Linked DNA regions of Oryctolagus cuniculus. The protein of the gene in region 2 binds, or shares a complex with, the protein of the main gene of each other region. Links are inferred from orthologs where the notes say so. Each region holds a gene or a part of one and is shown on either strand. Other genes may lie near its edges.

Region 1 (4,293 bases), on a different chromosome or scaffold from region 2:
GAGCTTGGCTTTAGGGCCCTGACTACCAGACAATCTCTTTCCCACCCTAAGCACCACCAAGCCACGGCATGAGTGAAGCAACCGGCAACATTACTAGTTAGGTCTGTAAGCCCTGTCCCACAGAAACAGTTTTAACGTGTCTTACCATTGTTATATTATTTCCATTTAGCAAAATCTGATCTAATTTAGTGATCCTTCTTCCTTCCGGTGTGATTTCACTAAATGAAGTGATAAAACAGAAAGTCAGGATAAATGGTGGTAACCAAAGGCAGCATTTTAGAAACACCTTCTCTCTCTAAAAAGGTAATGTTTGTATAAACGAAAGTTCAGCAATTATAAAGGTGATTTTCAGAGATAAAAGTTATCCACTGGGTAATGTACACTCTTCATCAAAAGCAAGAGTAGACCAATGGATATAAATAAGATCCATAGCCAAGGGGGCTGGCACTGTGGCTCAGCAAGTTAAACTGCTGCCTGCAGTGCTGCATCCCATACAGGCACTGGTTTGAGTCCTGGCTGCTCCACTTCCAGTCCAGCTCCCTGCTGATGTGCCTGGGGAGGCAACAGAGGGTGGACCAAGTGCTTGAACCCCTGAACAGATGTGGGAGACCTGGGGAAAGCTCATGGCTCCTGGCTTCAGCCTGGCCCAGCCCTGGCATTGCAGCCCTTTGGGGGAGTAAACCAGCGAATGGAGGATCTCCCTCCTTCCCTCTCTTTCTTTCTCTCTGTAACCTGGCTTTTGAATAAATAAAGCTTTAAAAAAGATTCACAGCCATGAGACTTATCTTCAAAAAAAAAAAAAAAAAAGGTGGAACCTGCCAAGATCAAATATAAAATATTTAGTAGACTCACTCTTTAACATTTTGTATTACTACTGATTTCTACCCACTAAACTACTATGTAACTAATACTTATCACTTACATTTTACATTATATAGTTAAATGTTTTCATCATCAGGTCCTTGATATGACCTGAGCCTTAAAATCCCTGCACGTTAACATCTGTTACCTTCAAGCTTTGTCTCCACTAATTTCCTAGCAATTCAGCAACAATTACATAACTTTTACAAGCATTAGTAAATAAAAGTTGCCTCTACTTCCATTTTGCTGACTAAACAGTACTTAAAATGTCCTGAATTTGAAAAAGAGCCGAGTTCTGTCATTTTTAGCACTACTCACAATTCAGTGACATCTTCCAATACCATATCTGAAAGGTGGTGTTAAGGAAATAAACACTCCAGGTTGAAACAACTCTGGTTTCTGCTTTCATTCAGTTGTAATGATAATATTTAACACAAAGGCTCATAATAAAAAGGCTGACTGTTGGTAGGAATGTGACCTTCTTCCAGTATACTCACCTCTGAAAACACCATCACAAGTGCCCTGAGATGAACTGACTTTTATCGTTAACACCCAGAAACACACTGTCTACGGTTCTGTTATTAAATAAACAGGAAAAAGCCACAGCACCACGTTTTAAAAGGATACTGACGAAGTCATCGAAGCCAAGAAGGGTGCCAACAATTTCCTTATCACTCTTCATCACAATGTGAATTCTGGATCCTATACATTTATCCACAAGCTCTGCGTGAGCAAAAAGATTATTTTACCCATTCATCATTTTAGCACATACTCGAGTGCACGCTGGCATTTGTTACTTGCCAAATTCAGTGAAAATTAAACTAGGAAGAACATCCCCCTTTGGTAACCTCGGATCTTAAAATGCAAACCTCTGCGCTCCCACTACTTAATCAGAAGCCTTTCCACTTCTCCTTTCTGTGCAGCAATCTATCATGATTGTGGCTTTATCTTTATTCCAGATCACGTGATTAATTTAGGGACACAAACACATCCCCCCAGACTCTTAAGCGCCACGAGCCCGGACACTGTGCTCATTTTCGCCCATCGCTGGATCTTCAGTGGACAGGGACGGGCATTTACGGGGCTTTCCACGAGCCTAATCACTGAAGTCCGTCAACGCAACCACTCCTCGCCGGCTACACAATGTCAGAGGCCGCTGACCGTCGTCGCGGGAGCCTCCTGTCACCTCCTCCCTCGCCAGTGAAGCCCCGCGGTGCTGGGGGCAGCTTCAGCACCTCTGGCCAGCCTGGCACGGGGGGCACAAGGTTTACTTGTCCAGTACTGTCTCCTCCACTGGCTTGTGTACCCTTCGGGAGCGATGGCTGTGGTTTAAGGTCGCTGTGGACTAGCACGCAGGAAGAACACGGGCTCTTACTGAATGGATGGATGAATGAATGAATGAATGGCAAACAGGGCTAGTTTCCAGATTCCTCCTCTAAGGCTCGTTCCACAGCGCGCTGCTTCCCGCTCAACTCCCAGACACACAACAGGGTGAACCCCATCTGGGGATCCCAAATGCCACTCCGGACACGGCGCCGCAGCGCTCCCAACAAACACGGCCGACGGTGCGCTCGCCCAGTGCGGCCCTCTCCCGCCCACGGTTCGTTCCGGGGGAGTCCGAGGAGCTGCCTCCAGGGGCAGGAGCACGTTACATCGCAGCAGCGGCCTGGCGCGCAGGAGCTCGGGAGCCGGCGCGAGCCGCGGAGGGGAAACGCTCGGCCCCACACATAGGCCCGCTACCAGCCAGGGGTGCCTCGGCCGCAACCCCGCGGCCCCCAGTCCTGAACCCCAGCCTCCCGCCCCAGCTCCCTCACAGGAAAACCATTACCTAGCGGCAGCAGCTGCGAGGGGTTCGTAGTAGCGTTAGCCGCCATGGCTACGCCGGAAGTGGCCTGCGTCCATCGACGTTCCACGGTGACTTTAAAAGAGCGCGCCTGCGCCTTTGCCCGCGGCCGGGCAGGCTCGACCAATCGCAGGCCGAGCGGGCGGCCGGCGTGCTCCACGTGGGCGGCGCCCGCGCGCTGCCTTGCTGGGGAGTGGGAGTCCTGGGGTGCTGCCCTGCAGATTCGTTCCCAGGCTTCGGAGAGACGCTGAAGATTGCTAACCTCCTGAAGGAGTTCGTCCTCCGACCGAGAGGACAGCGCATAAGGAAACTTTTGGCTTGTTTTCCCATAAAATTGTCTTTATAAAGACTAGTAAAAATCAGTATTTCCCGCCACCAATTCACTCTTTGACAGAGTTACAGTGAGAGAGACAGAGAGAGGTCTTCCGTCCGCTGGTTCACTCCCCAAATGGCCCCAACGGCCGGAGCTGGGCCGATCCGAAGCCAGGAGCCAGGAGCCTTCCCTGGGTCTCCCACGCCGGTGCAGGGGCCCAAGGACTTGGACCATCTTCCACTGCTATCCCAGGCCATAGCAGAGAGCTGGATCGGAAGAGGAGCATCTGGGAATACAACTGGTGCCCTTATGGGATGCCAGCACTGCAGGCGGAGGATTAACCTAGTGTGCCACAGCACCGGCCCCAAAAACATTCCTTTTCTTGAGGCTTCTGTCCCGGTTGCTCCTCTTCCAGTCCAGCTCTCTGCTGTGGCCAGGGAGTGCAGTGGAGTATGGCCCAAGTGCTTGGGCCCTGCACCAGCATGGGAGACCAGGAGAAGCACCTGGCTCCTGGCTTCAGATCAGCGTGGTGCACCTGCCGCAGTGCGCTGGCAGCAGCGGCCATTAAGGGGTGAACCAACGGATAAAGGAAGACCTTTCTCTGTCTCTCTCTCTCACTGTCCACTCTGCCTGTCAAAAAAAAAAAAAAAAAAAAGTAAAAGAGGGGCCAGCGCTGTGGCGTAGCAGGTAAAGGCTGCCTACAATGCCGACATCCCATATGGACTCCGGTTCAAGACCAACTGCTCCTCTTCCAATCCAGCTCTCTGCTGTGGCCTGGGAAAGCAGTAGAAGATGGCCCAAGTCCTTGGGCCCTGCACCTTTGTGGGAGACCTGGAAGAAGCTCCTGGCTCCTGGGTTCGGATCAGCACAGCTCCAACCCTTGTGGTCATCTGGGGAGTGAACCAGTGGATAGTGCCTCTTCCTCTCTGTAGTTCTGCCTTTCAAATAAATAAGTAAATCTTTTTTTTTCAAAATGGTTTACACATTTTTTTTTAAATGTAAAATTTTGTTTTATACTGAGGATTTATAATAGCTTTTTCCTTTTAACTTGTTGCTACTTTCTTAATTTATCATCCTTGCTGTATCTAAAACTCTGTAGTTTATTGAAAGCTTATTTACTACTTATTCAACAAAGTATTATCTAAGGCTATCACCAGATGTCAGTCTAAGTTATGTGTTAATATCATCACACTTAGAAAACATACTTTTACGTTTCTGTTTTGAAAATAATAGCAAATTCTCTGCCTTTGTCTATTTTACATTTGTATCCTAGGAA
Region 2 (3,652 bases):
ATCTTCTGCTATCCCAGGCCATAGCAGAGAGCTGGATCAGAAGAGGAGCAGCTGGGATTAGAACTGGCACCCATAAGGGATGCTGGCACTTCAGACCAGGGCTTTAACCCACTGCACCACAGCGCCGGCCCCAAAGAAAGGATATTATTAAATAAATTGTTCAATGCTTGGAGATTTGAATACCTTTTTACAAATTCCTTTGTGATACCCACATCAGCACAGTCTTCATAGAACTGTGCTTCCTACCAGATTCAGTGGGAAGGATGTTCTGAATAGGATTCTCCAGAGGGCTTTGGATTAATTGGAATATTCTATTTGCAGGCACTATCTAATGTTCCTCCTCTCCGGAATTACTTCTTGGAAGAAGACAATTATAAGAACATCAAGCGACCTCCAGGGGATATCATGTTCTTATTGGTCCAGCGTTTTGGGGAGCTGATGAGAAAGCTCTGGAATCCCCGAAATTTCAAGGCACATGTCTCTCCCCACGAGATGCTTCAGGCTGTTGTCCTTTGCAGCAAGAAGACTTTTCAGATCACCAAACAAGGTAAAAACGGTCACTCCTGTTGCTTTGACAACAAAACTAGTTTAATGAACAAATTTATTCACTTTTTTTTTTTTTAAAGATTCATTTATTTATTTGAGAGGTAAAGTTACAGACAAAGAGAGGGAGAGACAGAGAGAAAGGTCTTCCATCTGCTGGTTCATTCCCTAAATGGCCTCAACGGCTGGAGCTGAGCCAATCTGAAGCCAGGAGCTTCTTCTGGGTCTCCCACACTGGTACAGGGGCCCAAGGACTTGGGCCATTTTCTGCCTTCCCAGGCCATAGCTAGAGCTGGATCAGAAGTGGAGCAGCCAGGACTTGAACAGGAGCCCATATGCGATGTTGGCACTGCAGGGGGCCGCTTTACCTGCTACGCCACAGCACTGACCCCTATTTTCACTTTTAATAGTGAATCTTGATAGTAGCCAAATGAGTGACTGATGTACAGCATGGTTAGGTTCCTCACTTCTCTCTGATTGAACTAAGCAATACATTTATTTGGATGCAAAAATATTTGAAATCTGTATGATGTTTTCATAATATGCATCATCTGTGAACTTTCTGAAGACCCTTTTTGTTATGGCATGGCTATTGATGGTGTTTGGGAGTTTACAAGATAGCAGTAAAATGTTCCTCTGAGAACACCTTGCCCTGTGACCAGGTGACAACCAAGCTGTGTAGGACCATTGAATTCCAACAGCTAGCATGGCTAGGGTATTAACCTTTTTTTTTTTTTTTTTAAGATTTATCTATTTATTTGAAAAGCAGAGTTACAGAGAGAGAGGGAGAGACAGAGAGAGGTCTGCCATACACTGGTTCACTCTCCAAACTGCCGCAGCAGCTAGGGTTGGGCCTGTCTGAAGCCAGGAGCTGCTTCTGGGTCTTGCACATGAGTACAGTGGTCTAAGCACTTGGGCCGTCCTCTGCTGCTTTCCCCTATGCATCAGCAGGGAGCTGGATCAGAAGTAGAGCAGCTAGGACTTGAACTGGCGTCCGTATGGGGTGCTGGCTCTGTAGTTGGCAGCTTAACTTGCCATGACGCAACACCTGGACCAGTTCTGTCCATAGTCCCGGCTTTTCATATTAAGGCTGCATCAGGTATGAAAGTTTTGTGGAGAGATTTTTTCTGAGCTGTTGATGGGCCAGCACTGCATTCACAGTGCTCCGTAGATGACTCCTGGCCTAAGGGTGGATGCTGGAGTTGCCCAGCTTTCGACAACACTGGAAAGCTAAAACATCATTGGTTGGAAAATCAGGGTGGCCAAAGAATAAGCTTACCCAGTTTCTCCTGTCACAGCATTGTTGGGCATGATAATTATGTTGTCACACAAACATAGTGTATATATCCCATAGAGTATATATCCCATAATTTCTTTATCCAGTCTTGTTGACAGGCATTTAGGTTGATTCCATGTCTAAGCTATTGTGAATTGAGCTGCAATAAACATGGAGGTGCAGATAGCTCTTTTATTTGTCGATTTTATTTCCCTTGGGTAAATTCCAAGGAGTGGGATGGCTGGGTCGTATGGTAGGGCTATATTCAGATTTCTGAGGTGTCTCCGAACTGTCTTCCATGGTGGCTTTAGCCAGTTTGCCTTCCCACAAACAGTGGATTCAGGTACCCTTTCCCCCACATCCTTACCGCATTTGTTGCTTGTTGGTTTTTGTATGAAAACCATTCTAACCCAGGTGAGGTGAAACCTCATTGTGGTTTGATTCGCGTTTCCCTGATGGCTAGTGATCCTGAACATGTGTCTGTTGGCCATTTGGATTCCCACTTTTGAAAAATGTCACTTTAGGCCGGCGCCGCGGCTCACTAGGCTAATCCTCTGCCTTGCGGCGCTGGCACACCGGGTTCTGGTCGCGGTCGGGGCGCCGGATTCTGTCCCGGTTGCCCCTCTTCCAGGCCAGCTCTCTGCTGTGGCCATGAATGCAGTGGAGGATGGCCCAAGTACTTGGGCCCTGCACCCCATGGGAGACCAGGAGAAGTACCTGGCTCCTGCCATCGGATCAGCGCGGTGCGCCGGCCGCAGCGCGCCAGCCGCGGCAGCCATTGGAGGGTGAACCAACAGCAAAGGAAGACCTTTCTCTCTGTCTCTCTCTTACTGTTCACTCTGCCTGTTAAAAAAAAAAAAAAAAAAAAAAAAAGAAAGAAAAAGAAAAATGTCACTTTAAGTCACTGGCCCATCTCTTAAGTAAGTTTGTTTTGTTGTTGTGGAATTTCTTGATCTCTTTTTAGATTCTGGTATTAATCCTTTATCAGTTGCATAATTTGCAAATAATTTCTCCCATTTGAGACAGGAATCTTTGTCAGCTAGAGAAAAGAACACAGAAGCCTGAGCTTACCCTGGAGAAGTTGTTGGTCATTGGTTTTGGCCGTCCCTGGGTAATGAGACTCAATTTGGGTTAGAGATGAAAATTGAACATGCTAGTGTGGCTCAGAGAGCCTGGTGAGAGAGGAAAGATTGGAAGAGCGACAGCTTGACCTTGAAGAGCGCCAGCAGTAAGTGTTCAGACAGGAGGATAAACAGGACCAGGGTGATGTGGCCAGAGAGGAAGGAGCAAATCCAGGAATGGAGTCACGGAGTCGTGGTGTGGGTTTCCTGAATGACTGCCAGCCTCAGTGTGTGCCACCTTTCCTTTTTTCCAGGCGATGGAGTCGACTTCCTGTCTTGGTTCCTGAATGCTCTGCACTCAGCTCTTGGGGGCACAAAGAAGAAAAAGAAGAGTAAGTCATGCTGCTTGTACAAAGAAGCTCTTGTTAGCTCCCTTTAAAAAACTTTGCAACTTTCCATTCTTTTGTTCTTAACTGTTTATCTTGTGGGGGCAGGGGGGGAGGGTATCTGTCGTACACACAGGCTAAATTTTCTTCCTGAATAGGCCTTATGTTAGTCTTTTTCATAATGTAATGAAATTCTTGAGGCAGGCCAACATTGTAAAAAAAATAAATTTTTTTAGCTCAGTTTTGGATGCTGAACACCCAGATATCATGTCACAGGCCCTGACGAGGGCCCCATAGTGGATGATAGGAATATATATATAAAGAATATTGATATAGGAGGCCAGAGAAAGGGAGACTCAAGGATCTGGCTCAGACTTTTGCAACAT

What was found. Proteins that work in one complex are often made in the same cells at the same time.
Region 1: USP39 (region 2) and LSM5 share a complex: the UniProt entries of both Homo sapiens proteins name them as parts of the U4/U6-U5 tri-snRNP complex. The link is inferred for Oryctolagus cuniculus from reciprocal best matches to the Homo sapiens genes USP39 and LSM5.

What each region holds. Positions count from the first base shown.
Region 1 is NC_091447.1:23,533,018-23,537,310, forward strand, and holds the start of LSM5 (U6 snRNA-associated Sm-like protein LSm5), read right to left. Parts: upstream 2,848-4,293; 5' UTR 2,736-2,847; coding exon 2,690-2,735; intron 1,585-2,689; coding exon 1,489-1,584; intron 1,208-1,488; coding exon 1,180-1,207; intron 219-1,179; coding exon 146-218; intron 1-145. UniProt on the Homo sapiens protein: Plays a role in pre-mRNA splicing as component of the U4/U6-U5 tri-snRNP complex that is involved in spliceosome assembly, and as component of the precatalytic spliceosome (spliceosome B complex).
Region 2 is NC_091433.1:117,024,967-117,028,618, reverse strand, and holds part of USP39 (ubiquitin carboxyl-terminal hydrolase 39), read left to right. Parts: intron 1-321; coding exon 322-547; intron 548-3,194; coding exon 3,195-3,272; intron 3,273-3,652.